4 linked regions of the Rhinolophus ferrumequinum genome follow. The protein of the gene in region 3 interacts with the protein of the main gene of each other region in a biochemical or structural test. Links are inferred from orthologs where the notes say so. Each region holds a gene or a part of one and is shown on either strand. Other genes may lie near its edges. The genes, in order: CLDN8, JAM3, TJP1 and CLDN7.

Region 1 (7,456 bases), on a different chromosome or scaffold from region 3:
CGTGACCTAGTCTATAATTAACAAACTATCAACATGAAGACAAGAATGGGAGATTGACAAGAAAGGTATGCCAATAGTGACATCAGATTGACTACTCTCTGAAACTCTAAATAAAGAATCATTGTGATGTGGTTATTCCAGTGGAAAGTTCTCTGAATAAAGAATCTAAAAATATGCATTTCAAATATCAGTGACTCAGATATTTTTTTAAAAAGTCATAACGCTTGACCACACAAATAGTTTTCAACAATGTGCTAGCGAAGAAAACAAAACTGTGCTGAACAAATTCTGTTTCTTCATTAACTTTGAATATATGTGTCAACATGAGAAATTCCCTTTCTCCAGCTTTCTTTGGGACGTAGTAGACAATACAGGAGAGAACAAGGGTTTTAGATACAAATCTGTGTTCCATTTCTGTGAATCCAGCAAACAATAGCTGTATGGCCTTAGAAAAAGCACCCTCGCTATTGAGTTTTAATTTATTCAATTATAAAAAGGGTCTTCTCTGGATGTTTTAAATTTAAGGTGTAATGTGCGTGTAAGGAACCAGTGGCACAGAAACATTTACTAATCAGTAGACATTGTTATTACCAGCAAATTCCAGCTCCTTTAAAAATTTTTCCCAAAGCATTAAATTTAGGTTGATTCCTATCAATTTTGTCCATAGAAATTACTTATTAATTTAGAGAAAAAAGTCCTCCAGGATATAGTTCAATGAAAACTTCTTTTCCTCGTATTTCCAGTCCTTTAGTGGGGATATCCAATATACCATACTCAATGAACCTGCCTCCCAAAATATGTCAGAGTTCACCACAACTCAGATTTCAATTTTTAAAAATGCAATGAAAAGTAGAAGAAAGATAAAAGCCTTTCAATAATCATTATTCTCATTGTCTATTTTCTTTACTTAGGTTTGCCCCAGCCCCCACCTCCTTTTTGATCCTGGAAGAAACTCTTGAAACAATAAGAATAGACCCTTTAGAATTATGAGAAATTAATTGAGCAGATTAGTTAGTAGCTGATGTTATGGATGCAGGTTGTGTCTTCCCAAATTCATATGTCGAAACCCTAACTTTCAATGTGATGGTATTTGGAGGGAGAACCTCTGGGAGATGATTAACTTTAGATAAGGTTGTGAGGGTGGAGCCCTCATAAAGGCATTCGTGTCCTTATAAGAACAGAAAGAGAATAGAACTCTCTCCCTCTCCCTCTCTGCCATGTGAGGGTATAGCAAGAAGACGGCCACAGCTCCCTGTGGAAAAGGAAGAGCGCTTTCACCAGAACTCCACCATCTGGTCCCCTGATCGCAGACTTTTCAGCCTCCAGAACTAGGAAAAACTAATTTCTGTTGTTTAAGCCACCCAGTCTATAGTATGTTGTTCAAGCTGACTAAGATGCTAGACAATTACTATACAGGGAGAAGTTCATTTTTAAACAGAGCAATTAAATATAAATATGAGGTGGTGAATATGGAGGGCTACTAATGGTCATGGATACAGACCTTTGGGAACAGATAACATGAGCAGCTAGTCAGCACAACGGACAAATAGGACAATATTTCAAGAACGTGTAGCGATGCGCAGTATTATTTTGGGAACAACAAACAAAGAGATCTATTGATATGTTTATCTGTTTTCTCTGGACAAGGTGGTCAAACAAATACAGTTAATTGACAGTGAAAAATAAATAAAAATAAATAAGGTTGAAAACTGTCAACACAACAGAAAAAAATAAATCCAGAAAACAATAGAAACTGGCGACTATTGTTTGATTGGCAGAAGCAAAGATTATTTCAAGGAGTGATGAGAATTAATAGGAACCCCAGACTAAAGAGTTGTTGGTTAAGGATTAATTGCTGTAAAAATAAGAATGACAACAAGGGCAGTCTGACAGCGAGATTGTGTGTTATCGTTTATAAAGAGAAAACATTTGCAGGTGTCATGTAGTTATCAGGACTGAATTTAATTGCTAAACTTAAATCATGCTTCTGATAATGTTGACAAAAGGGAGATCTCCAGAGAGGGAACACAGTGGGTCAACATGAGCATGCTTTTCTTCCTTGGTCCTTGATAATATTTTAGTTCTTCCATAGAAGTGGATGTACAGATTATAGACTACTGTGTATAGGTTGCCTTGTAGTTCTGAATTAAAGAACAGCAAAAATGTTATTAATCTGAAATTCTCTAATGACTACTATCTGACTTTTGCAGGCAAGTTAATCATCTCAGTAGGACAGAATATTATCGAAAAGTAGACAAACAGTTCATTTTACTTTTTAATCTTGGAGTTTAAGTCTCTTGGTCCCTAGTGAACTTATTATTACCATTTTCCCCTGTCTTTCTCATTTTCCTTGACCTTTAGGGCACAATTATTTCAAATTATCATGGGATTAATTGGATCACTGTGTAATAAGAAACATACCTGGATGCTCTGGGTTAGTTTCTGCTAGCGCAGTTAGCTCGATAATTATTTATTGTAAGCTTAGGGTTGTTTTTTTACATTCCGATCCTAATCTTTTGGCTGGGCAATTCCAGTAGGAAAGTACTAATATTTTTGAAATGAGGAAAATATTTTTGCGTGAAATAAGTTCCTAGTACAGCTCAGTGCTTAAGGGAAGAAAGGTTTAGTAGCATGAAAAGCAAACAGATACATCACTGCATACACGGGAGGCACTCCCAGGCTCTCAAATATATAGATACCTATTTACCTCAAGTTTTTCCATTTTTATCTGGATGTTTAGCAATTTAAAACACGGTGTCTAAAAAATACATCACACACAAATTTAGAAAATAAATTTTGATTTGATTACCAAAAAAAAATTTTTTTTCTGGTCTGTCATTATATCAATAATTATATAATTTCTTTTTCATTTTCCAATTCTGTCCATCATGCCCCTTTCCTAGACTGAAAATGAAAGATTGAAAAAAAAAATCTGCTGATTTGATTTCAACTTTCCTTTTGTGGGTTGTAGGTGAGTTTTCCCAAGATTAACCTATCTCCCTCTGCATCTCAAAGCCTGAAGGAGAAAATGCTAGATACTTTCTGTCAGCATAAGGGACACACTGCAAATTAGTCCTTAACAGGTCAACAAATGAGAAAATTACTGTAAATATCAAGCTTTAAATTTTCCTTTCTTACTTTCAACATGTCCAGTCTACTAAAATAAAATAATAACAACTTAAACGACTATATATTCCTTTTTTATGTTTTTAGAAGACAGTTGATTTTGGCATCTTCCTCTTCCGCTCCCTACCACCATTTTTGTTTCCATAATCTCTGTAAAATACTCAGATTTTTTGGACCATTACACTTTCAAAGTTTAATAAGTGAGGGGGAAACACTTTCTCCCGTACTCACATTTAAGGTAGTACGAGGAAGCAGAGAAGTAAAATTGTAAAGAAATTATATTTTTTTATGATACAAACAGGAAAAGCATTAAAGTACAGCTTGAAGCTTGGAAAGACATGACAGAGAGCTCAAGGTGATCTTCACGAGATCATCGCTGGCGGATTTTTCTCATATCAACATGTATGTTTATTTTAGTGACTGTTAAATCATCATTATTTTGAGAAGGAACAGTTCAAACTGCCCTACATTCAGGGGCTTCTAATTCCTTTTGCAGACATGGTATTGAAGACACGTTTCGTTCAATCATTATAGTGACCTCGTCTTATAAAAATTTTGTTTAGAAATATCAGCCATTTGTATGGATCCAGGACTGGTATCATCTGCAGGTTTCTAGTTGCTTCAGTCCAATAGGACAGAGCAGCAAACATAAAGCAACAATAAACCAGCGATCTGTAAATCACTTCATCATTTAATTGCTATTGCAGTGTTTGCTACATAAGATCAAATAGATTCTTTTTTTGGTTGTCTTTACAATTTTTTTTCCTCATAAATCAGGATTCAAATTCCAATAGGTATTTTTTTCTTATACAGTGTTTTTTTTTTCCCCCTTGTAAATCAAGGTTCAAATTCCAATAGGTCGTTTTCCTGGCTCAAAAGAAAACGATATGTGCTTGGTGCCATGAAGGGACAACTTATGTATTTAATTACTTGAGCCTCATTTCATCCTTCAGCATGGTCTGTTCCCTGATTTTATCCCAGCAGAGCCTGCTTTGAAGTTGTAGGCAAATTAAATCACCCTCTTGGATCCCATGTGTCCCAAAGAATGTGGTTCCCCAGGTATGAGAAATCTATCAATCCCCTACTCTTCTTTCACTCTGGCATGTTGACAAGTCCTAGCCAATTTCTTAGGCTGACATTTTATTTTATACCTTTGTCACAGCAGCTCTTACTCAGTTACAGAATTGCCTGTACACGGTGTACCTTTTCATGTGACAAGGGATTGGTGCATTTTTTGATGATTGTGCAAACATTCCTAATTATGCCTATAGGTAAACATACTGCTGTCTTCTTAGAACACTGAGAAGTACAAAGAATGTTTATGTGCCAGTCCAGCCGTTCCAAGTATCTCTTGTCGGTTTAGACACACCTGGTTACCATCCCCCTCTTATTGGCCAAGAAACTTGCCCCACCTGATTTGTAAGTTTACCTGTTAATGTGGGGGGAACAGGGAGGGGGGCTCAGCCAGCCAACACTGGATTTAATCTAGCTGGAAGTAGCAAAGCTGTTCTTATTTGAAAAACCACTGGGTTCTGAGTTCATTGCTAGAGGAAAGCTCTTCTCTCCTGGGACACAGAGCACCTTGCTTCAGAGCAGCCCTACTACCTCAGGAGTCCAGTCGGTCAAACCCATAGCAGAGGATAATGGCTACCTCTGCTCTGCAATACGCTGCGCTGGTGCTTGGTGGTGCTGGCATGGTGGGCACAGTGGCTGTCACCATCATGCCTCAATGGAGAGTGTCTGCCTTCATTGGAAGCAACATTGTGGTCTTTGAAAACATCTGGGAAGGACTGTGGATGAATTGCATAAGGCAAGCTAACATCAGAATGCAGTGCAAAATTTATGATTCCCTGCTGGCTCTCTCTCCGGACTTACAGGCATCCAGAGGACTCATGTGTGCTGCTTCCTTGCTGTCCTTCCTGGCTTTCATGACGGCCATCCTGGGCATGAAATGCACCAGATGCACTGGGGACGACAACAAGGCGAAGGGTCATATCCTGCTCACTGCTGGAATCATGTTCGTTATCACCAGCCTGGTGGTGCTCATCCCTGTGAGCTGGGTTGCCAATTCCATCATCAGAGACTTCTACAACCCAATAGTGGATAACGGCCAAAAACGTGAGCTTGGAGAAGCCCTCTACCTAGGCTGGATCACGGCACTGGTGCTGTTGGCTGGAGGGGCAATATTCTGCTGTGCTTCTTGTGGCAATGAAAAGAGCAGTAGCTATAGATACTCCGTACCTTCTCATCGCACAACCCCAAAGAGCTATCACATGGAAAAGAAGTCACCAAGTGTGTACTCCAAAAGTCAGTATGTGTAGTTGTGTATATGTTTTAACTTTACCTATAAAGCCATGCAAATGACTAAAATATCCACTATTTTCTAAAAATGGAACCCAAAGGAACGTTGACTTGCCGTTCTTAACTGCAGAACATTAATTACAGGAACTGTGCATCAGCTATTTATGATTCTATAAGCTATTTCAGCAGAATAATGAGATACACAGTGCTCTGATGGTTTTAGGAAGTGCAGTCAGTTTTCTAAAATGGTTCATACATCTTTCCCTTTTATCAGTTACTTCAAAATGACATTGTTAATGACTATTATTTTACAACTGTGATTTCTCTATGACATAGCATTCTGTATGTAGATGAGAGTGACGTTTATATCTCACATAAATAGAGACAGGCTTATATGGTTCTATTTTAAATGAAATACTGATTCATTACACTGAATAAACAGAATTCAACTATTGCTTTTCGGGGAACTCGGGGATAAGAGTGAGGACGGTTAATATTAATTGTTTAAAACCAGCTTAGCAATTAATGCACTTGATTTATAATGAAGGTTAAAGAGAAGGCTTTAATCAACTGTATAAAGGAAACTAAATGGCTTTCTGATATCCTGTTTTCCTAGCTTCTTTATGCTTTTCCCCTAGAGGCTTTCTTTTTCTTGTATATTAAATTAACATCTTTTAAAAGGCAGATATTTTGTTAAGGAGCTTTGCATTCAATCAGCTTTCCAGAGGTGTGCTAAGAGGAAAGAGAAAACTGCGATCTATGTAAACATGAAAGACTTCAGGAAAGTGAAAAATATTTTTCCTCTTCAATTTTTGTGGTTGGAGAAAGATACATTTTGACAAGAAATCCTATATGTGTGTGAATATTTTAATAACTACTTAAAGACTTCGGGATTTTATCAATATAAATAAGTAATGTATTATATTGGACAGAAAAGTAATGTATTATGTTTTTTGCTGTCCAAAAAATAAAAACAAGTTGTGCTTTATGAACTCCATCTTCTCCTATGTGGATTCCTAAGTCAAACTTGTCTTTTCAGTTGTCAAGATAAATTTCTTATTCCATTTTTGTTCAGTTTTACTAAGGTATAGAAATACAATATGTTTGTGTTTCCCCCAAATTTGATACACTTGATCATCCCATTTGAAAGTTTATTATCTACATTTTTCCAGTTTAAGTGACTATGTATGTTATCAGCTTTATGTCCTTTGTATCAATAAATTTTTCTTTTATAGTAATTTGATATTATTTTTCCACTATTCTCCTTTTTTTATTATTATTAACTTGTAAAGAGTTTTTGAAAACCTGATATTTTGGGATACCTAATTTTGAAAAGAATATCAAGGCCACATTTGAAAGATAAAGGTAGATGTGGCATTACTTTTTGAGAAAATAAAATACCTTATGTCACTTAACAATTCTATACCTTATAATCATTGAATTCATACACTAACTTTTGATGCAGATAATGTATTTGTAATTTGTTAACATAATACCATAGGTCTCAAATCTATATACTATAAATATGTATGTAATAGTCATCTCTGTAAAAACTTTCCATCACTAAATACAGTTCTATCTTTGAGAAGGAATATCAATTAATAAGAATGTTGAATGTTTGTGGGGCATGTATTATGTGCTAGGACCTCTACTGTTTTATATGCATTATGTCATTAAATCTTTTATGAGACTGATATTAGTTCAATTCACAGATGAGAGCATCTCGGAACAGCTCATTGATTACCCAGTAGAGTCAGGACAAAAAATAAGGACTTTCTGACTTCATAGCTCACGTTCTTTCTCTTCAGAAAAAGTAGACTTTCTTCAACACTGTCTGGTTTATAAATTGATTTTTGCATAAGGAAATGACATGCATAGCTACTGTTAGTTGGGAACATATTAGTGTTTTTTTCTGGGATTGGTGATTTTCCTGTAGCTAAGTGCTAATTTGTCCTAGGCAATTTTTCCTTCTGGGGTCAAATCATTCATGAGAACAGAAAAAAGAGAACTAACTGAGCAGCTTGGAGAA
Region 2 (7,174 bases), on a different chromosome or scaffold from region 3:
AGTCCGCAGTATATTTTAGGGGTGGACATGCTACATGGCCTCAGCTTACAGATGTCGGTAGGAGAATTCCGTCTCCGGATCCGGGTGGTGAAAGCGGTGACACACGGGCATACTCACCATCCTCAAGTGTTGCCACAGCCCTGGCGCGTGGTTACAGTGCGACAGTACCGCCTGCCAGGAGGGCAGGAGGAGATTGGTCGTACAATATTGGAATTGGAGAAGTCACATATTGTGAAGCCAACACACAGTCCCTTTAACTCCCCAATATGGCCTGTCAAGAAGCCAGATGGGACTTGGCGAATGACTGTGGACTATCGGGAGTTAAATAAGGTGACACCACATTTGCATGCGGCAGTACCTTCAGTACACAATTTGATGGATTGTCTGACTGTCTGCCTGGGAACATATCATTATGTACTGGACTTGGCCAATGCTTTTATCTCCATTGACATTGCACCCGAGTGTCAAGAGCAGTTTTCTTTTACTTGGGACGGGCGGCAGTGGACTTTTCAAGTCCATCCACAGGGATACTTGCATAGCCCCACTATCTGCCACGGGCTCGTAGCCCAGGATTTGGCACAGTGGGATCACCTGTCCTCTGTGGCCTTGTTTCACTATGTTGATGACATTTTATTAACATCTGATTCTCTTTCAGATTTAGAGCAAGCAGCTCTCTCTCTTCTCCACCACCTGAAGTCACGTGGCTGGGTGGTGAATGAGAAAAAGGTCCAAGGCCCTGGCTTATCCGTCAAGTTTTTGGGTGTTGTATGGTTGGGTAAGACAAAGGTCATGCCTGAGGCGATTATTGACAAAATACAAGCCTCTTCCCGGCCGACTAAGGTCTCCCAACTGCAGGTCTGCTGGGATATTGGAGGGTGTCTGTACTCCATTTAGCACAAATGGCAAGGCCCTTGTATAACATGATAAAAAAAGGGGCCTCATGGGATTGGACATAAGCTATAGAGCAAGGCTTTGTTGCCACGAAATGGGCCGTGCAGCAGGTACAGGCCCTGCAAATAGTAGACCCTGGCTGCCCATTTGAACTTGATGTTCATGTAACTCAAGAGGGGCACGGTTGGGGCCTCTGGTAATGGCAGGAGCATCTCCAGTTGCCAGTGGGATTTTTGTCCCTATTTTGGAAAGGAGCGGGAAGTCCGCTACTCTCTAATAGAGAAAGAGCTGGCTGCCCCTAATGGCCAGAGAAGCCATCACAGGAATGGCATGCGTGTTGGTTCGAACAACCTATCCCGCCCTGGAGTGGGTCCGTATGTGGACCCAGGGACCCAAAACGGGGATGGCACAGACCACCACCCTCGCCAAGTGGGGTGCCTACTTGGAGCAACGTAGCACCCTTAGTCCAGCCCTTTGAGGACAGAGCTACAGCAGGTCCTAGGGCCTGTGGAGCTTGTAGCCCAGGCTGAGCCAAGCGCTCTGCCTAGGGAGGAGGACTTGTAGCCCTCGACCTACAAAGAAGGACTCCCCCAGTACCTGAAGATGCCTGGTTTGCCGATGGTTCTAGCTGAGGAGCTGCAGCCGTTTGGACGGCTGATGGTGTGCAGCCCAAAACAGACACCATTTGGTTTGATACTGGGATGGGCCAGAGTAGCCAGTGGGCTGAATTACGGGCTGTGTGGATGGTAATCAGCCATGAATCTGGGCCCCTAGTTATTTGCACTGACAGCTGGGCGGTGTTCCGGGGCCCAACGTTGTGGTTCCCCACATGAAAACAGCAAAACTGGTTGGTAGGACACCGTCCACTGTGGGGTCAAGCCATATGGCAGGACCTCTGGGACCTAGGGCAGAGAAAGGAGGTGACCCTAATGCATGTCACAGGTCACTCCCCCTTAGTGTCCCCAGGTAATGATGAAGCAGATGCCCTAGCACGGGTCTGATGGTTAGAACGGGCTCCTGCCACTGATGTGGCCCATTGGCTGCATAGGAAATTGCAGCACGCCGCAAGCTGAACCATGTGGCAGGTGAGCAGATGCTGGGGTCTGCCTTTGAAATGACAGGAGATAGCAGAGATAGCAGATGCCTGCTATGATTGTGCCATCTGTGCCCAGGACAGCCCCCAAAGGCGGAGGCTCCCCTGGGAGACACAGCAGATTACGCGAGGGAGGGTGACCCTCACTCGCTGGCAAGTGGATTACATTGGACCCCTACCTAAGGCCCGCAATGCTATGTATGCATTCACAGCAGTGGACACTGCTACGGGGTTGATGTTTGCTTGGCCGTGTCCAGCTGCAGATCAGCGGCATACAGTGGTCGCTCTTACACAGCTGTGCGCCCTCTATGGGTGCACCCAAGTCACTGAAAGTGACAGGGGTACCCATTTTATGGGACAAGAAGTGCAGCGCTGGGCTGCCAGGATGGACGTACAATGGTTGTTTTATACCCCGCATAACCCACAAGCAGCTGGCATCATTGAACACTACAACGGCCTTTTGAAGCAAGGCCTCCGGGTGTCAAAACACCCTCCTACAATGTGCGACTGGGCCTCGCATCTATGGGATGTCTTGAGAATCCTGAATGAAAGACCACGGAAGGGAGGGCCCGCACCAGTAGAAGCTCTGCTACATCGAACGGCTGCTCCCATTCAACTACAAGTTACCACAAGTGAGACTCTGTTAAAGCCAGGCTATGGCAGAAATGGAAACATTTTGCTGCCAGCCCCCACATGCTTGAAAGCAGGGGAACGGCAGCAATGGACTTGACCCTGGCAGGTCAAAAGCCCCCGCTGTCGGTGGGTGGTTGGGCCTGATGGCCCCATGGTGGGCTGGTTTGACTCATGATTTGCAAGTGACGACAGGGGTGGTGGCTGAGTGGCTACCGCAAGTGACTGTAGTATATGGAGGTCCCGATACCAGGATGATTTTGCAGGGAACCTATGTGTTCTCACTATGGCCTATTATGGGGTCTCCTGTTCTGTTACATGTTGAAACTACCAAGGGACCCCAAGCACTGTCATAAAGGTCTGGTACCACAAACTGGGAAAGGTGCCAGTGGTAGTGACCCTCCTTTCCCAGGACAAAAAGCTAGCATGTATCCTCCCAGATGGAAGGGATTTGCCATTGTTGGTTCCTAAGACTACTGTTTCTTTCCATCCATAGGTGCCTGTAGGCTAATATGACACAGGGACCCTCGCGGAAGATGCTTGCCATGTAAATTGTGAGGCGAGACCCTGTAGGTGTGGAGTGTGGGGACAGAGTCTCAGAGAGCAGTTTCCAGGCTCTCGGCCTCATGTGGAAAGGTGCTGACCCGGGTAGTAGATGGCCATCAGCTGTGGCTAATTGACCGTCAGCTGTAACCAGTTAGACAATTAGCCACTGATATAACTGCCACGGCTGCGTTGGTTAGTCAGTCGGTTGGTTGGCAGACAGAGAAGTGGACAGCAGGTTGGAGGTCGTGTGGCTCCAGCCTCCAGTGAGACTATAGTGCTGCCAGTGAGACGATAGTGGTATGACTCCCCTATCTATGGTTCCATGGGTGTTCCTTTTTGGCCTAGCCATATCCTGCATTCTTTTGTGGGGAGCAGGAGCTAGACCCCGCAGGCTGCCTTGCACGACAAATGGCACATTGAGCAGTGTCCCCTGCACAACACTAGCTTTACCAGATCAACTAATTAGCCTAATTTTATGCAGAATAAACTATTGGGTATACCATCATGCTTTTGACCTATCACGGAAATAAATTTTGTTTTAGAAAGATGTCACTTTTATGTACTGCATAATGTGTGTGTTTCTCATGTTTTATATAGATTTCAGTGCTTTTTCCTTCCATCACATTTGGTATCGGGGTCTCAAAAGAGGTGCAGACAATAATGCTTCCAAAATAACTGGGCTGCATCGTCATTTGTAAAATAAGAAACACTTTATTTTCCAAATTTTAATTAAGCGTCCTTCTCTGGTCTGTAGTGACATATTCATTTTATAGCTATGGAAATTTACCCCACTTCACTCTTAAACATGCTTCTTTACCTTCTCCCACCGAATTCATTGAAAGAGACCCACTCGGTGGGCCTGGGTCCAAGGCATCCCTGTATCCATAGTAACCGTATCAGCTTCTTTTGTCACCAGGGTGACGGCTCTGCCGGGCCAGGTGGTTGCCATGGTAACTAGGGGCGGGTAGCAGGGTCCCGGCAGGCTGCGCGCATGCGCGCGGGAATCCTGGCTGTGCCGCTGCTCCGCGGCCCCTCAGCTCCCCTCGACATGGCGCTGAAGCGGCGGTGGGGACTCCGGCTCTGCGCCCGGCTGCCCGACTTCGTCCTGCTGCTGCTTTTCAGGGGTGAGTATGCGAGTTTCTACCTTTTGGAGAGTATGATCTGGGGGCGATGGGAGCAGAGCGGGCCCGAAGCAGATGGAACTCGTATAGGCGGGAATAGCGGTCCCGGCCCCTGGGGCTCCCGGGGCTCGTCGGGAGGAGCGGCGGGCGCCCGCGTCCCCCGGAGAGGAGTCGGATCCCGGCCTCCCGGCGGGGTCCGAGCAAGTTGGGGGGCCCTTCGGAGTTTCGGGCAGTTTCGCTGCGGGCGATGAGTTCGACCCGGGCGGTGGGCACCGCCTTCTGAAAAGACAGTGCCAGCTCTGGCGTGGACTCGGGAACTTGCTTGAAGACACTGTGGAGCGAGCGCTGTGCCCAGAAGTGGACAGTGAAAGGCCTTTCGAAGGACCAACGAGGTTCAGTTCCGAGGCCTGTCTGGCATCTTTGTGACAACCCTCTGGGGATCTGCTGTTCATTTGTTCCTTGTTGTAAACAAAGGGACTGAATTGGGCAAACTGAGCTTTACTTTCGAGGAAAAATAAAATGGCACAGATCTCAGTCAAGTACTTTTTGAATTTGTCTCCAGCGCGGCCTAGTAGATCCTGCAGACCCATACTTACCCTGGAAATAGCATCTGGGCCATTTTGATCAGAACATGATACAATTGGGAGTTTTGATTTGTCTTTTCCACTGTCCGGAATTCTCATTAGATTCGTGTGTCCCGGGACAGTTGGATAGAAGGGTTAAAATAGTTTCTGTTAAGTGAGCACATACTGTATACTGGATGGACACTTTGAAATCATTATTTTATTTAAGTCCTTACAGCAACTTTGTGATGTGGGTTTTATTAACCCATTTTCAGATAAGAAAACTAAGACCTAAGTCCAGTCTCTTTTCCAAGGGTGCATTCCAGATAAGTAGTGAAGACTCAAACGCATGCTGACCTAAAGCACTGCACCACACTTTTCCTTCCCTATTGGCGATCTGCGTGTCACCAAATCAGGTCTTTTTTTCCCCCCATTTTTCAGGTTATTTTATTGTTTGGCTTATTTGCCATTGTCATCCCTTGATGTTTTCCAGAATATACCAATTAAAACACGAAGTGACTGTTTGGAGTGGGGGGTGGAAGGACCAGGGAAACTGAACGCTCCTGCTCATTCACCAGAGTGTCCATGATGGTGGCAGTAAAGCTGAGGGCCCGGGACAGAAGCTGTGGAAACGGCTCTGTGATGAATAATAAGTTTCAGGGTATAGATGTTGTCTACATACTCTGCCTGAAAATGATTTCCAAAAACATGTGGTTGACTGATATAAGTGGTCAAAGACTAGCCAAGGGGACGAGGGTGTCAGGAATGTCCAGCTCCCGGCTTTGTTGGTCACACTGACACTGTCCTATTCACAGACTGGAACAACTCCCTATTGTTGAAGAGGTCTGTTCACATGAAAGTTTGCAGTTTTTATTGCAGGAACATTTGGCAGTTTAGTTCAGGAATGAGTTTCAACTTGGTGGTTTGTTAATAAAACTAGAATATGCTAAGGACTTCACATACCCATAACCTCTTATTTTGCTCTCCTGGAGGGGCTTGCTTTGTGGCTTTCTTGAAACTAAGGAGGAAGAATCACATTTTGCAAAATAGGACCAGTGACAAAGAATCAAGGTGGTAGGATGTATTAATTCACCTTGAAAGGATGTAACTATGTTTTTTAAAAAGTAGGGGACTCTTTTTCCATTAGTTTACACCCCAAATATACTGTAATAGCTTGAAACTTTATTATTCTACGGGTCATGACAGCTGTGTCTTTTTTTATTTTTATGATTACTCTTTTTAATTGTTATTGTTTTTCAGTATTCTCATTTAAATATTTTTGGTTTCCAGTATAATACAAACATTCTTTATCAGTTACCCTTTGCCAGGCTCTATTATAAGAATTTAACATGTATTAATTCATTTGATATTACTCTAAGAGGTCGTTACTATTGTTTTTCCCATTTTGTGGACGAAGAAACAGAAGTACAGAAAGATTCAGTAACTTGCTCAGGGTGATTTATTTGGAAATCTTCAACCATGTGTTTTAATCCAAGTTTTGGTTACTTGTATTACTCAATTTGACAGTGGAGTTCTTATGGATCAGTTTAATCAAATTATCAAATATTCAAAGCTGTGTGGTTTGTATATAAAATATTCTTTTGTTGAGTTGATGACAGGTGCAATTCAACTTTACAAATGTTATGCCACATCATGTCTTTTATGAATGATTATGTAGTAATTACTGTTGGACTTTCAAATCTTTTGATGTCCTAGAAAGAAGTGCTTCATTTAGAATTAAAAAAACAGTAACAGTTTGTATTCTTGGGATAACAAAATGTGCTGAAGCCTAACAAAATCTGAAAATCAAAAATTTCAGGACATTTCTGAAAAATATTTTAAGTTTTCCATTTGCATTTGTTTTGTCTCTTGAAACTTTTTTGTTTTTGTGACTTATTCTTTTATGTTGTTTTCTTTTAAACTATCTGATAGATATAATCATGACCAGAGCTGCGTATTTTCAGTAAAACAAGGAACACCTGCCCTGAAGCACGCAGTGCCTCAAATCAGCTGTTCATTCCCAGATGAGTTGTTGATAGGCATTTGTTCGTGAATGCTTTAGACTAGGGAGACTGAATGGATAGCTATTAGAGATACTTAATCATAAGAAATTGCTGTATTACATCCAGACAAAATAATACACCCAATCCCTAAGCTCTGTGCAACTTGCTCTTAAGGCAGGCCAATGGAGTAGGCTTAAATCAGTTCTTTTGTTAAAAAAACAGATTTGTATTATTTTTGTATTATTTGTATTTCTGAGATGGCCACATAATGTAACTGAAGAAGCTATGGATTTAGTACATTCAACTAGCAGCTGTTAGAGATGTGAT
Region 3 (7,098 bases):
TGTCCAGAGACACAGTGTGCTAAGCTAAAAAAAAAAAATTTGTCTTACCAGCCTCCTTGCAGTGAAGCGGGTCGTCAGTGACTTTAAGTAGAACTCTGGTTGGTGTTTCCTGAGACTCTTTAAAGGGGGCTGACTTGGATGAGAGAGGAGCCTGTTGGCCCCTTGGTCTTGCCCTTTCTATTTTCCTAAAATGTGGACAAGCTGGCTAGAGCTCTGGCAGCCATGCTGTGACCCTGATGATGGAAACAACATGCTAAAGAATGCAGAGCGGAAATTAAAAAGTGCCTGGACCTCTCATGACTTTGTGGAACCACCTTACCAACCCCAGACTGGCAGACGAACGCCTTTTTTTCCTACATGAGAGGAAAAAAATATCGTTTCATTAAGCCATTATAACAGGCTCTTGATACGGCACCAACATCATTTCTCATTGACACATCCTAAAATTCTGGATGTTTATTACATAATAAATCGAAGATCGGTTCACTCATAAGGCAAACATTTACTAAGTAGCTACTGTATGTAAGAAACTGGATCAGACAAGCCACTGTCTACCACCTACAATAGTAATGCAAGATAAAAATTGAAAAGGATCAGAGGACGGGGTGACAAGACGTCGTCTTAGGAGAGCTTCCTGAAGAAGGTCAGGTGTGCAGGTTTTAAACTAAGCAAACTTGAAAACAAGTGATCACAATCTATAGAAGAGAAGAAAATAGTACGTTTCCTTGAGAGGGAGAAAATTATAACTGATAATTCCTTCTTTCTATTTTTTACATAATTCAGCCAAATGTAAGAACCACTAAAGGCCAAAACTGAAGAATGTCATCAGTTTTGCCAAAGAGCCTTCCCAGCGAAGAAATTCCTCATCTCAGGTTAGTGGAAGGAAACTATTAAAGCAACATGACAGCTGTTACTTCCAGTCAGTGGGAGCTGAACAATGTAACATTGGAACTGACAAGAGCCAGAATTCATGGCCCTGCCTCTCATCAAATCCACCAATGCAGGAAGTGAAAAGGGTACGTGCACGGCTCCCCAGAACCTCTGCGTCCTTCTACTACATGACATTCCCATTTTCATAACAATTTGTCATCGTGAGACGTTAGAACAGTGGCGATGAATAGAAGATCTGAAAGCTTCCAGAGTGGGGGACGCCAACAAGCAAACAATGCTCTCAGGACACAGAGGGCACTGGGTTTCTCATTGGCAACCTTGGAAACTAGAAGACAAAGGAGCAGTGACCTAGAAATTGAGTCAAATGAGTTGCAACCTAGACTTCCATACTCAAGAAGCAATAAATCAAGATGATGGCAAAATCATGACTTTTCAGATATGCAAGGTCTTATAATCTCTAGGTCTCATGTATTCTTATTATTAGAAAAGATTATCCATCAAAACAAGGAAGTAAGCCAAGAAAGAAGCTAGGCGGTCCAGAATACAGGGGCCCCAACATAGGAGAGAAATGAGAATACTCAGACAACGTGAGCCTAGAATAGAGGCAGCAGGATGGAGGGCTCCTGGAGGGCGGGTCCAGGAAAAAATGGAAACTGATGGATCGTGTGTAGTCTGAGTCCATGGGAAACTATATTGCAAGGCATTTCACATTATTGTTGCAGACATAAGGACACTTAGCCATGGATATTAATAAAATTAAACAAGTTGAAAAATAAGGCAATTAACTCCAGGTAAAAGAAAAAGTTGTAGGAGAAAGTGTAATCGTGGTACAACACTAGTGTCAGTATCAAACAATGTTTAAATAGTCACAATAAATAAATATGTGGAGTTAACCAAAAATGTTGATGGTCCACAGGGAGGACATATAAATGTCTTGCCTGGGGTTGCCAGCATTCTGGAAGTGGGTGGGAGAAGAAAGCTTAGCATCTCAACTCAAGACACAGGCCTTCCTGATTTCTCCTTTTCAGTCTGAGGTTGCTAAGATCTATAGTAAGAACGAATCTTCTATCCGTGGAATTGCCTAATTTTATAAATTAAACCTTATCATAGGTAGGTATGTAGAGAAAAAAACCCGTATATATAGGATTTGGTACTATCTGGGATTTCAGGCATCCACTGGGGGTCTTGAAACACATCCCCCATAGATAAGGGAGATACTGTATAAAAAATTAGGCTTTGCTTTACAGGTTCAGATAGGCCTGATGGTACGCTACCATGGTTTAGTTAAATAATAACTGTTGCCCAACAATGTGATTTAAATTGCAGTTATCATGGCATTACCTGTAAGTAAATGCATACAGTACAAATGCATATAGTACGAACATGCTGCTAGCTCTTTAGTCCATAAATCACTACATAAATAACATGCACATCATGACCAGTGGCCAATCACAGCAGTTCTTTCAAAGCCGGTCCGTGATTCGTCTCTGAGCATCTGTTATTTAGTTTAGGCACTGATAGCAAAGTGTGCAGTTGTGCTGCCTCTTTCTCTCTCTGGGATAAACCCACAAAACACTGTATTTTTATATAGGTAACTAAAAGAGGAAACTGGCCACCAAAGGTGGAAAGTGCAGCAAAGAAACAAACAAACAAAAAATGATAAAGATGGAAATGCAGTGAAATTGGAATGAAATGTAATTGGAGTTATTAAAAAAATTGGCAACTGGGAACGTTGACATTACCATGACGTTTCCAGAGAGTGGACATGCAGTCAGAGGAACTGACTGAATGTGAACTTGAGTGAGGAAAGTGGTTGTGACAAAAATGATGAGGGAGTCCCAGAAGACATCACAATTCACAATAGTGAAAGAGCAGGGGTTAAATGTTGACAGTGATCCAAACTTTGCTTTGCCAAGGCACAGAAAGGATGCTATCTGGAGATGTAACAATTCTACCAGGAGAAAACACACACTGTTCCAGTTACTCTTGACAAGTTTTCCTTACAAAGAAATGAAACACTTGAATTCTCAATGTTTTAAATTACATTGTATTCAGTGATTAGTTTTACAATGTTTTTCATTTCCCTATACATTTATAACCATCAATGAAGAAAGTTTGGAATGTTTTGACAAAATTTTTTGAAGGTCACGGAACAATCTTATTTTTCCCCATTGATTATTTGCATGGTTCGTGGTCATTTCCACAGTCCCAAACTACTGTGCAAATGAGGACTGCATCACACACACACACATATATATTTATATATATGTATATATATACACACACACATATATATGATATATATATACCAGGGGTGCCAAAAAATGTATATAAGGGGACACTTTGGCAACGTTGCTTAAGTGGTAGTTCACCATCATCCGAAGTGTCTGGACGCTGATGGGAACCACTTTGAGCACCTCTTGTCATTGCAGAAGTCAAACGTGCCTTGTATTCATCTTTTGTTATCGGTATATATTGAGCATTACAATTTTAATAAGTTTTCCTTTCTTAAATTGTGTACACATTTTTTGGCACTCTATATATCATAGATATGTACACACACGTGTATATATGTGTGTACATACATGTGTATGTGTGTATACATGTGGGTATATATGTGTATATGTATACGTATGTGTATATGTGTATGTGTATATGTGTGTATGTGTATGTGTGTATGTGTATATGTGTATGCATGTGTGTATATGTGTATGAATGTATACACGCATATACACACATTATATATTATGTGTGCACACCAGAATGCATTTTATATACACATCATCTCCAAACACATTAGGCTAGAAAACAAATGATGGTTAGGAACCATTCAGTGGTAATTATAAATGTAAAAAATTATTTTTTTCTGCTCTGGAAACCTGTGGTTGCGATCCTGGTATAAGCGGATCCCGTCAATGCGCTCCCGTCACCGGGGAGGAAACTGAGGTCGGCGGGGCCGGGCGGCGCGAGGGGGTGGGTGGGCGGAGCGGCCCGGCCTGCCCGCCGCGGGATTGGGCGCCGGGAAAGTCGGGCGGCTGCGCCGCCCGCCGGGTGCGCCCCGCGGGGGCCGCGGCTGGCGGGGATGGAGGGGGCGGTGCGGGCGGCGGGAGCGGCGGGCCACGCACGGCGGCGGCGGCGGCGGGAGCGGCCGGCACGCACGGCGGCGGCGGCGGGAGCGGGAGCCCGGGCCACGCACGGCGGCGGCGGCGGGAGCGCATGGCCCAGAGCTGATCTATGCGGCGCTTGGAGAGGCTGTGCCTGCGGCGGCGGCGGCGGCGGCGGGGCCCTGCCCGCGAGCGGAGCGGGGACAAGATGAAGTACCAGAAATACCTGACGGTGCTGCAGATGGCCATCGGCGTCACCCCCTCCAACCGCGGCAGCCTCCTGCCGCTCAAGCGGAAGCTGTGGTGAGGGAGCGGCGGGCGCGGGCGCGCCGGGGGCCGGGCCGGGGCGCCGGGCGCGGAGATCGCGGGGCGCCGCAGCCATGTCGGGGCCCGGGGCCGAGCGTCGCCGCGACCCCCGGCTGTGCCCGGGGACACGCAGAGCGAGCGAGCTGCGCGCTCCCTGGAGGGATGGAGGGAGGGAGGGGCCGCGGGGAGCCGGGCGCCCGCCCCGGGCTTTCGCGGGGACGGCGAGCCATTTCTGAGCACCGTGCGCGTTTCCCGTTGTCCCCCAGGCCCCTCCTGCCGCGGGTGCACAGTGAAGGACGGGCCGCGCCCACGGCGAGGGGCGCGTTACGACGTTACAATGGCATCGGGACTGTATTTCACCTGCATGGGCTCCGGGTCCCCCGCCCTGGAAACTGTTACTGGGGGAACGGGAAAAGGATGCCCTTAAAGGAAAATGTCCAGGACTTACCCAGAGCTGGTTCACACAGTTGATTTTCTGCCCAATTGTATTGCATATTATTAGCATCTAAGTGTGTCATATGGAATCCCAGTGGCTTCCCAGGCTTCCCTCGACTGGAGACTTAGGTGTAAGGTTCTATCACAAAAGGAATAGTCAGGTAAAGCGATGGTGACCATGGGAAAAGGAGGCCAGGAATCTTGATATTCAACGATCGTTTCCATTTTAAAATTGAGGGCCAATGTAGTTCGTAGAGGTTTCATTCAATTCAATTGAACGGTAGTCTAATTTAATTTTAAGGTGATGGAGAAGGCAGTGAGGCTGCTTTTAGGCGTTTGAGAAAAGTAATTTCTGCTGTATAAGACAAAAATGAAAGAATTATCCAAGGACTATCAAGATTGAGCAGTCAAGAAAAAGAGGAGTTAAAGGAAAAAAGAATCCCAACAGTGGAGAATTTTGGAGGTAAGACCAAAAGAATATGGGCTGCGAAGTTCCAATTTCAACTTGGCACTTACTGTGTGACCTTAAGCAAGTGAACGGGAGTATCTGTTTCTTCCTCTGTAAAATGAGCACAGTGCTATTTATCTGCCTCCTGGGGTCACAGATGAACGGAGAGAGTGGATACAAAGTGCATGCCCCGGTGCCTGGCTGAGTAATGGGTGCTTAGTGACTACCAGAGTCCTCCTCCCTGCCTCCCCATTTGTTTAAACAAAGACATTTATTCTGCAAAAGGCAATATAATTTGATGGACAGCAAGTGACCACATCGAAGACTAGACTGGTAAAAGTTGGCAGTAACTGAATTAAGAAATGTCCATGGAAGAAGATGTTAGCAAATATATGAAGAATATGTCATCATTGTGAAGCCAGAAGTAGTGACATTTGAAGATGACTTTTCAGATTGACGGTGGATAGGGAAAAAAAAGTCAGCACTAACAGTAGTACCCCCAGCCTGCTTTTCTCCAGAGCACTTATCAATATCTAATACTACATATCGGACTTAATTTTCATATATATCACCTCTCCCCACACTAGAATGTAAGTTGTATGGGGGCAGGGCTTTTGTGTATTTAATTCATTACTCAGTCCCCTGCACTACCTGCTACGGAATAGTTCTCAGCAGCTATGTTGAGTACATGAATTCTTAATGATACCTAACTGGGAAAGAAAGATAAGGAAATCCGTTTTCTTGATGTCAAATTTACAAACTAAGATGTGGGACTTACTTTTGAGGAGCCTTCAGGTATATGCAGGAATTGATCACAAAGTCCGTCAGTTACTAGGTTTTATTCTTTTTCATCATCAGCATGCTGCTTCTCAAAAGGCATTCCCCAATACAGAGTTTGTGAAGAGAGAACACCGGGAAATACAATCCAGGTAACTTTTGCACTCTAGAGATTCACATCTGAGGCAGACGGTGAACTGGGGCCAGGGTTAAAAATTCATCTTCCTAAGAAGAGACAGCCTGGGAAGGGCCTGAGCAGTTGGTTGAACTTTCCCACCATTTTAAAGGAGCATTTCAGAATATCCATTCTGTTTGCAAATGTGAATCTGGTTTCCACAGTGGCAAAGGGAAGAGCGTCCTCTACAAAAACTCTGGTGTGGGCGGGACTTTTAAACAGAGATGTCCAGTCGTTTGTTTTTAGCTGGAGAGTACCGTGCTGCCGCGACATGGAGCGGAATGATCTATGTCTTACGTCCTCTGGAATTGTTTTTCTGGATAACATTTCATTTCGCCAGTGTCGTAGCCAACTGCACGTGGGGGCATTTGAGATGGAAGGCACTGTTGAATGGCGAAAAGATAGAAAGATAGGGGTTCTGACTCCAGGGTGACGGATGGGCACCAGGCAATGCCTGTCACACTTTGGAACGCACCAGCTTATGCCCGTTGACAAGATGTGAGGGCGTGTGATGATAATTGGCTGTGGCGTATATGAAGATGGTTATGATAACGGTGATGAAAAGGTGTACGCGCTCTGTGCTTCTTTCTCTAAATGGTCACAGTCTGTGTGTAAATACTGCACGCTTGCAAATCTTACGCCAGTGAGTCCAGGTGGGGTTGAACGAAGCAATGCTTTGACCCCACACTTCCGTCCAGTTTGGCCACTTCTGCTCATCAGCTTCCTTTTGTGCGAAATCTTTCTGTCTTTCTGAATGGCTCCACAAATCCTTTAAGGAGTATTCTGTTGCAGACCAGTTTTGGGGGAAACTGAAGCAAACACCCATCTCCCCACCCCCGCCAGACCCACGTCTGTGGGGCCTGCAGGAAGCCTCTTGTGTCTTCTCCAAGAAATTTTGAATGCTGGAGCATTTGCAGTGTCAGGTTCTGAATCAGTGCTGGTTAAGAGCCTGGTACTAAGCC
Region 4 (7,639 bases), on a different chromosome or scaffold from region 3:
CCTCCAGGACTTTGCCAAGCAAAAGGGGTAACAGTGAACATCTTTGTACTTTCCCCCATCATAAAAGAGATGAGTCTAAAATTTTTTCATTAAACATAAGAATTTCCTTTCTAATCTTTGTTTGCTAGAAGTTCTTATCATAAGTCAGTGTTTAACCTTATCGAATGCTTTTTAAAATTACTGATTGAGGTAACCATATAATTTTTTTCTTTAGTCTATTAATGTGGTAAATTACATTGATGAATTTTCTAATATCGGAACACTTGCATCCCTGGGATAAACTCCTTGTTTGTGATGTAGTACTCTTTAAATACACTTTTACTTTTGGTTAAGTAATACTCTACTAAGAATTTTTGTATGTATACATATTTATAGATGAAATTGTCCTCTAATATTTTTCTCGTACTATCTTTAACTGTTTTCAGAGGTAAGATTACCCTAGCTTCATAAAATGAGCTGGTCGCTTTCCCACTCCTTCTCCAGATCTGTATCTCAAATATGCACTCCAGGCTGAACCATAGGTGATCATCTGGCCTTCCTGTCTTCCTAAGCAGGCAAAATATTATCACTCGTATTTTACAGATGAGACAAGTGAGGCCCAAGAATAAATTTCTATATGAGGTGGAATTAGAACTTGGGATATTTTATTTGCTTTGAGGCTGTAACTTTTTGGTCTGACCAGTAAAATAATAACCAGTGATCAGTATAATAATAGTTTTTGAGTAATATTGCACAATTAAAATAATATTGCAAGTTTCCAAAGTTCATTTATTTGTTTATCACACTTTCCCATAGAAACAAACAAGTTGGTTGGGTTCCCATACCAAGTTGATTACATCATTATATTGCCTGTCATCTCCATGCTATGGTGTATATCCCCTAATCTGACCCAATCTTCCACCCAGACTTGATCTTTCAAATTCTTCCCCTATGACCTTTGGACTCAATGTCTGTCATCATCCTTAAAGGCACAGACTCTTCTCTGAATGTTTTCTTCCTAGAATTTAACTGAAACCTGGCTGTCTTGGAGAACACACTTCCCTGGCAGCCCTCATAACAGAGGATTACTGCAAGTCTCATTTTCTTTTCTTTTTTAAAAAAATCCCAGTTCTTTCTTTTTTCTTTTTAACTTTTATTTATTTAAGTGTGTTTTTCCAGGACCCATCAGCTCCAAATCATGTAGTTGTTTCAATCTAGTTGAGGAGGGCGCAGCTCACAGTGGCCCATGTGGGGATCGAACCGCAACCTTGGTGTTATTAGCACTACACTCTAACCAACTGAGCTAACTGGCCACCCCCAGCTCTCATTTCTTATACCTCAGAGTCTGGAGCTGGGAGTATTGCTCCCCAATTGTATTGCTGCTTCTAGATCATTATTTTCCTTCATACTTCAAAATTCTCTGCTCCTTTGCAATTCACGTCTAGAAGTGTATCACTCACCACCTCTAATTGTTACCAGGGTCTTCCAGCCTATTCATTCACTGGTAACATCCAGCCCACATTCACTGATAACATTAGCACCTGGCTCATCCTCTTCTTCTTTACACCTATGTGCCTGTCATCATGGTTGTCAACTTCAAAATCCATCAGGGTACTCCATCTAATTGTAGCCTCAGCCCTCAATCTCATCTCCAGTGATGTTTCTCTACAGCCCATCTCTAGGCTTTGTCATCTCCAAAAACAGTTGCTTCCAATGTATTGAACTCAAGCCTCCCACGTCTGATGATCACCTCCTAATCTTCTAGCTCATTCACTCATGTATTCCTTTCATTTCATGGAGACCTCTAAACCATTGACCTTATCAGTTTTTCACTATCCACCAACATTTTTTTATGTTTACTCTCCTTATCCAATTTATATCCATGATTTGACACATATAACACTCTTAAGCAGATACCTTAAGTCCCTTCTCTTTCTTTTTAGTAACCAACTCTGGTTAATTCCAACCATCCATCTGCTTGCTTCTTGCACTCAACTGTTTTTTGTTTTTTTTTGATTGTCACACTGGGGTTCAGGGGAAGGTTCTAGGGAGTGTTCTACTGGTAGCCAATCAGTAAAAGTCAAGGATGCTAAATATCCTATAATGCACAGGACCATCACCCATATGAAAGAATTATCTGGCCCCAAATTCAATAGTGTGAGGTTAAGAGATCCTGCTTTAAATTAATACTACAAGTTTCAAAGGAACAATTGACACAGGGTCTTAGCACTTGCTGTTTCCTCTGGCTATAACATTGTTCTTTCACTATTTAATAGTCGCTTCCTAGAAAGGTCTCCCTGACTTCACTCTAAAATGGGCCCAACCTCATCACATTACCCTGTTTTATTGCATTCAAAACATGCACCATTTCATTTATGTCTTTATTATCTGCTTCCTCTTTCTAGAATCTGTTACATGAGTCCAGTGTCTTTATCTGTCTTGTTTACAGCTGTATCCCCAGTGACAAACTACTACATTATATAGGTACTCAGAAAATATTTGTTGAACAAGTAAATGAAAACATTGTTAATTTGCAAATTCATTCATTCATTCATCAAATATTTATTTGTGATTAAAACCCAGACACATTTCTGCCCTCTTGGAACTTATAGGGCAGTGGGAGACCGATATTGAATAAATAACCACACAAAGTAAACAGTTTCAAACTACGATAAGGGCTTTGAAAGTAAAGTAGCGGTGAGAGCATTCAGCAGGTGATCTGACTCAGTCAGTCTGGGGTGGGGTAGTCAGGCCAGGCTTTCTAAGAGAAGTGATAGTTGAGCTGATAGCTGAAGGATGAGTCAGCTGGGTAGAGGAAGGTGGGCAGAGGGTAAATGGAGAGCATCCAGGCATAGAAAACAGAGTGTGCAAAGACACTTTGGTGGGAAGTAATGTAGTTCGTTTCAGAAACAGAGAACGCCGGTGTGGCTGAAGTACAGAGTATAGTAACCCATGGTATGGCATTTGCCAAATCTAGTGGAGCAAGAGAAGGAAAAGAGTGCCATTGGAAAATATTAAGGATTTTCATAGGAAATGACAAGATCTGTTTGTTTAAAAAAAAGTCCGTTATCAGAAACTGAATATTAGAAGGACAAGCAGGGAAGCTGGGGGATTGGTTTGGAGGTAGTTGCAGTGTCTAGGCAAGAGGTGTTGTTGGCTTGGCCTGAGGCGGTGGCAGTGAGCTTGGAGAAAAATTAGATATACTTAAGTAATGAGAAACATGGAATTTTAGAGCTGGAAAATACCTTTAAAAAGCACCATTAATCAAAAAGTAGAAAAATAAAAATGAATAAAAGACATTAAAGTCTGCATTTTATAGAAAAGCAGACTAATTAGCTTGGTATGAGGGGCTCTTTAATATGTTTATTAACTAAAAGAGGGAAAGATCTACAAAGAAATATTTGAGAGGGAGGAACGAAGATGGGAAATGCAAGAGATGAGGTAAAAGAAACAGAGAGGAATGAAATGAGAGAGACAAAGTAATAAAGGTGTGCCAGTCCGAGAGTTGTGAGGTGAGAGAGGAGTTAGACTGGGAGACATCTGGGCAGGGAGATGCAAAGAAAGACTAACTGGTGGTGCTGGACTCCAGGAGGGCTGCGGATAGGGTACAAAGGTTGACTAAAAGAAAGGGGAGTGAAATAGGAAGTGGAAAAGGCAGGAAGGGGGCCATGATAAAAGATGAGGGAGGAATGAGTGAATGGGGATGTTGGGAAGAGATATCCAGAGGAAAGATGGGGCAATAGTTTGGGAAGAACGAGAGAAGAAACCTAAGGGTGAGCTGGGAGCTGAATCTGAGGGCTGAATCAAAGGTCACATTAGAACCACATATTGGTTCTAATGTGGCAGAACGGGAGAGGATGGAAGAGCTCACACAAATAGGCAGGTCGTGGCTCAGAATGAAAGAAAGAAATGCTAGCATGGATGGGGGGGAGCGGAGAAGAGGGGAAGGTGAAGGACAAATTTGGAAAGGCTCCAGGGAGGGAGTGAGGCGTGTGGCCAAGACTCAGACGGAGGTGTTACCCTTCTCCCCACTCTCAGCTGGCGTCTGGTCATGGTGGTTTTTCCCTTGTTACAATGACCCTTGATGCGGGAGGGGTTAGTGACCACCGGGAAGTGGGGTGCAAAGAGTCCAGGCATTGTCATGTCTGGGATTAGAATGCGGGGCCAAGAAGATGGGGCCCATGCATGGAAGCCGGGTGTCTGTTGGAGAGCAGGGTAGAAGAGCGAAGGACAGCGGCCAGGGGCGGGGGCATGCTGGAGAGGTGCCTCTGGGAGTTCTGAGGGCTTGGAGCCAGGGCCCCTGAAGGTGGGATCCACTAGGATCCGAGACTGAAGGAAAAGGAGAAGAAAGAGCAGAAGGTGGGGGAAAAGTAGGGCGGAACAAAGAGCGCCTGGAGTAGAAGCCTAGGGTCCCTTCGGGGAGGAAAGGCAGAGCAAAGACTGGCCGGGGTCGTCCTCTACACTCTGGCTCCGCAGCGTCGCTGGCGCATCTGTTGGGGAGTGGGGAAGGGGCATCCTGGTGCCCGAGCGAAGTCCGGTTCAGAGGAGCCGACTTTGAGCGTGGGACTTCCAAGAAGCTTCCGCCTCCTCCCCACCTGCGGTCAAAGCCGGGCAAGTGAAGGGGCGTGACCCTGGTGCTCAGGTTTCTTCCTCATTACCTGGGCAAGGAGGGGTGGGGGCCGGGACTTCCGGCCTAGGTAAGTGTCCCTTCGGTGACGTCAGGTCACTCTCGGCAGCCCCTCCGGTCCCGCCCCCCCCCCGCGCTCCGGGTGCCCGCGGGGACGCGCCCCCGACGCCCTACATATACTCAGGTGCGCCGCACCTGTCCGCTCGCACCTGCCGGCTCACGGCTGAGGTTTCTGGCACAACCTCTCCCTCGCACCGCCTCTCTCACACAGCAGCCTCCGGCCGACAGCCCCGGGTACTTTGGAGACTTCCAGCACCCAGGACCGCGCCTGTACGGCCCCTCCACCTTTTGTTTGGGTAGGGTCGCGGAGAGCACCAGTAGGAAACACCTGGCCTTCGCAGATCGCCTTTGTTGACCAGCAGTTCTCCGGTCGTAACCTGTTCCCTCTACTGAGACCTTTGCACCGCCAGAGGGGCGATTTGTGTTTACTTCGGGTGATCAGATATTTGCAGTCACTGGATCAAAATTTTTTTGACTTTTCGGGCGACTTATAACTCCAACTTGTCTTTTGTGGGGTTGCCCTTCAAGGTTTGTTTGTTTTACTGCAGAGGCGCCCGCCCGGCGCCCCCGGTCTTTTCTGAGGGCGGAAATGGCCAATTCGGGCCTGCAACTGCTGGGCTTTTCCATGGCCCTGATGGGCTGGGTGGGCCTGGTGGCGTGCACAGCCATCCCGCAGTGGCAGATGAGCTCGTACGCGGGCGACAACATCATCACGGCCCAGGCCATGTACAAGGGTCTGTGGATGGACTGCGTCACGCAGAGCACCGGCATGATGAGCTGCAAGATGTACGACTCGGTGCTCGCCCTGCCGGGTAAGACCGCGGGACCGACGGGGCGGACGCGCCCAGGGCCGAGGTCAAGGGGTGGGGTGTCGGTCAGGCCCCGCTGACCGACGCCCTTGGTTGCCTGGGAGTCGCTGGAGAGAGGAGGGAGCGGAAGCCGTGGGGATGGGGCCGTGGTGCCGGCCAGAGCGGACTGGGGTTCCGGCGGCTGCACGTGGGCCCGCCACCCCCCCACCCCCCCGGTCGGGTGCCCCTCTTCCGCCCCAACTTCTCTCGTAGAGGCCAGGTCCTGGGCCGGGGTCCTCCCTCCCTCACCGCCCTGGGCAGGCAACGGCCTCCGCCGCTCCCGCCCTTTTCTCTCCGACAAAGGGTGGCGCAGGGCCGAGGCCGCAGGGTCGGGCCGAGGGCGGAAGAGCCGTACGCTCCGTCAGACTTGGGCCGCCGCCTGCGGCCTCTAATCTTATCGGCCGATTAGCCGAAGCCACAAAACCAATGGCCTCGATAGTGGGGTCAGAACTAGGACGCGGGCCGTCATCTTTGGTCCGCGCGAGGTCTCCGGAGAGGCCGTTGCCTCCGGTCCTATTAGCTGTCCCCTTTCACCCTTCCCCCTACTCGGGGCAGTTTCATCGAAACCTGGGCGCCCCGGGCGGGTACTAGAGAAGAGAGGGCGGGGCGGAGCTGGAAGGCCGCGGCGTCGGGAGGGTACGGGATCCACTCTACTTCCGCCCGGGACTTGGACACCGAGAGGCCCCCAGGCTGGCGACGGGGTCCAGCGGCCATTGGTTAGTGGGCACTGTGGGCGGTTCGAAGGCTCGAACGGTCCGAGAGCCGCCTGCACTCCTAGCGATGACGGCGTCCTTGCCCCTTCCCTGCAGCGGCCATTCAGGCCACTCGAGCTCTAATGGTGGTATCCCTGGTGCTCGGCTTCCTGGCCATGTTCGTGGCCACGATAGGCATGAAGTGTACACGCTGTGGAGGAGACGACAAAGTGAAGAAGGCCCGTATAGCCATGACTGGAGGCATCATTTTCATCGTGGCAGGTAAGTCACAGGTCCAAGATGGGCTCAAGGGCTCTCCTGTCTCCCATCCTGGAGGAATGATGGTGGGCAAGGTGCTGGTTTGGGGGCTCATAATATCTGAATCCTCATTCTCTCTCCAGGTCTGGCTGCCTTGATAGCTTGCTCCTGGTATGGCCACAAGATCGTCACAGACTTTTATAACCCTTTGGTCCCCATGAACATTAAGTGAGTATGGGAGCCCTGCCTCCTAAGGGGTCCTGGGGCTGGGAGAGGCAGGCCAGGGTTTCTGACCCCAATCCCCTCTCTCCACAGGTATGAGTTTGGTCCTGCCATTTTCATTGGCTGGGCAGGGTCTGCTCTGGCCCTCCTGGGAGGTGCACTACTCTCTTGCTCCTGTCCTGGGAACGACAGTAAAGCTGGGTACCGTGCACCCCGCTCCTACCCTAAGCCCAACTCTGCCAAGGAGTATGTGTGAGCTGAGATCCCCTTGCCCCTGCCTGGTAGCCCATGGGTGTGCCCCAACACCTGAAGGGCCCTGGGGCAGAGCCCAGCCTGTGGGCAGGGTGCGGAGCAGAAGCCTTTGGTCACTCCAGTCCTGCACACCATGTACAGTTCCCTGGGGGGTTGGGTGAGGGAGACAAAAAGGGGTGGGTGTGCTTTTTGTACAGTAATAAAAAGTATGTTTTGGAAAAAAGGCTTTTTTTTCTCCTTCAGGGCCTCTCCTTTCTCCCTACCCAGATCCTACAAGAAGCCTGGAGCCTAAAGTATGCCTATTTCAGCTATCCCTGTTCCACCATTTCATTGTCATTCAGGTCCCAACACTTTGACTATTGACTCTAAAAGACTCAGGTGTTTGGTTTCCTCCAGTCCCTTCCACTCCCAATTCTTGCTTAAATGGCTACCAGAGTTTCTTTTTTAATAATAATAAAAAAAGACTTTATTAGGCTTGGAGGAGGGGTTTCCTAGTCTCTCATCTTCCCCTCTGCCCCCACCCCACTTTCTGTCATGAATGGATCTACTCCCTGACTCATGGGTCATAGGGCAGGGCTTCCATAGACACACGGAACAAAGGTGGGGGAGGCACAGGGTAAGACTAGAGGGAATAATGGAAGGATGGTTATGGGCCCAAGGCCTACACACTCCCCCTCCAATTACAGGCTGGTCAAATCTCA

What was found.
Region 1: the proteins of TJP1 (region 3) and CLDN8 form a complex in vitro, tested with the Homo sapiens proteins (2 studies listed by BioGRID and IntAct, with this or other methods). The link is inferred for Rhinolophus ferrumequinum from reciprocal best matches to the Homo sapiens genes TJP1 and CLDN8.
Region 2: the proteins of TJP1 (region 3) and JAM3 form a complex in vitro, tested with the Homo sapiens proteins (2 studies listed by BioGRID and IntAct, with this or other methods). The link is inferred for Rhinolophus ferrumequinum from reciprocal best matches to the Homo sapiens genes TJP1 and JAM3.
Region 4: the proteins of TJP1 (region 3) and CLDN7 form a complex in vitro, tested with the Homo sapiens proteins (2 studies listed by BioGRID and IntAct, with this or other methods). The link is inferred for Rhinolophus ferrumequinum from reciprocal best matches to the Homo sapiens genes TJP1 and CLDN7.

What each region holds. Positions count from the first base shown.
Region 1 is NC_046285.1:96,770,993-96,778,448, reverse strand, and holds the start of CLDN8 (claudin-8), read left to right. Parts: upstream 1-4,575; 5' UTR 4,576-4,769; coding exon 4,770-5,447; 3' UTR 5,448-7,456.
Region 2 is NC_046308.1:34,592,025-34,599,198, forward strand, and holds the start of JAM3 (junctional adhesion molecule C), read left to right. Parts: upstream 1-4,154; 5' UTR 4,155-4,208; coding exon 4,209-4,284; intron 4,285-7,174. UniProt on the Homo sapiens protein: Junctional adhesion protein that mediates heterotypic cell-cell interactions with its cognate receptor JAM2 to regulate different cellular processes. Plays a role in homing and mobilization of hematopoietic stem and progenitor cells within the bone marrow.
Region 3 is NC_046311.1:13,164,339-13,171,436, forward strand, and holds the start of TJP1 (tight junction protein ZO-1), read left to right. Parts: upstream 1-4,086; 5' UTR 4,087-4,125; coding exon 4,126-4,298; intron 4,299-7,098. UniProt on the Homo sapiens protein: TJP1, TJP2, and TJP3 are closely related scaffolding proteins that link tight junction (TJ) transmembrane proteins such as claudins, junctional adhesion molecules, and occludin to the actin cytoskeleton.
Region 4 is NC_046304.1:11,570,650-11,578,288, forward strand, and holds CLDN7 (claudin-7), read left to right. Parts: upstream 1-4,776; 5' UTR 4,777-5,255; coding exon 5,256-5,478; intron 5,479-6,323; coding exon 6,324-6,488; intron 6,489-6,607; coding exon 6,608-6,692; intron 6,693-6,779; coding exon 6,780-6,942; 3' UTR 6,943-7,139; downstream 7,140-7,639. UniProt on the Homo sapiens protein: Plays a major role in tight junction-specific obliteration of the intercellular space.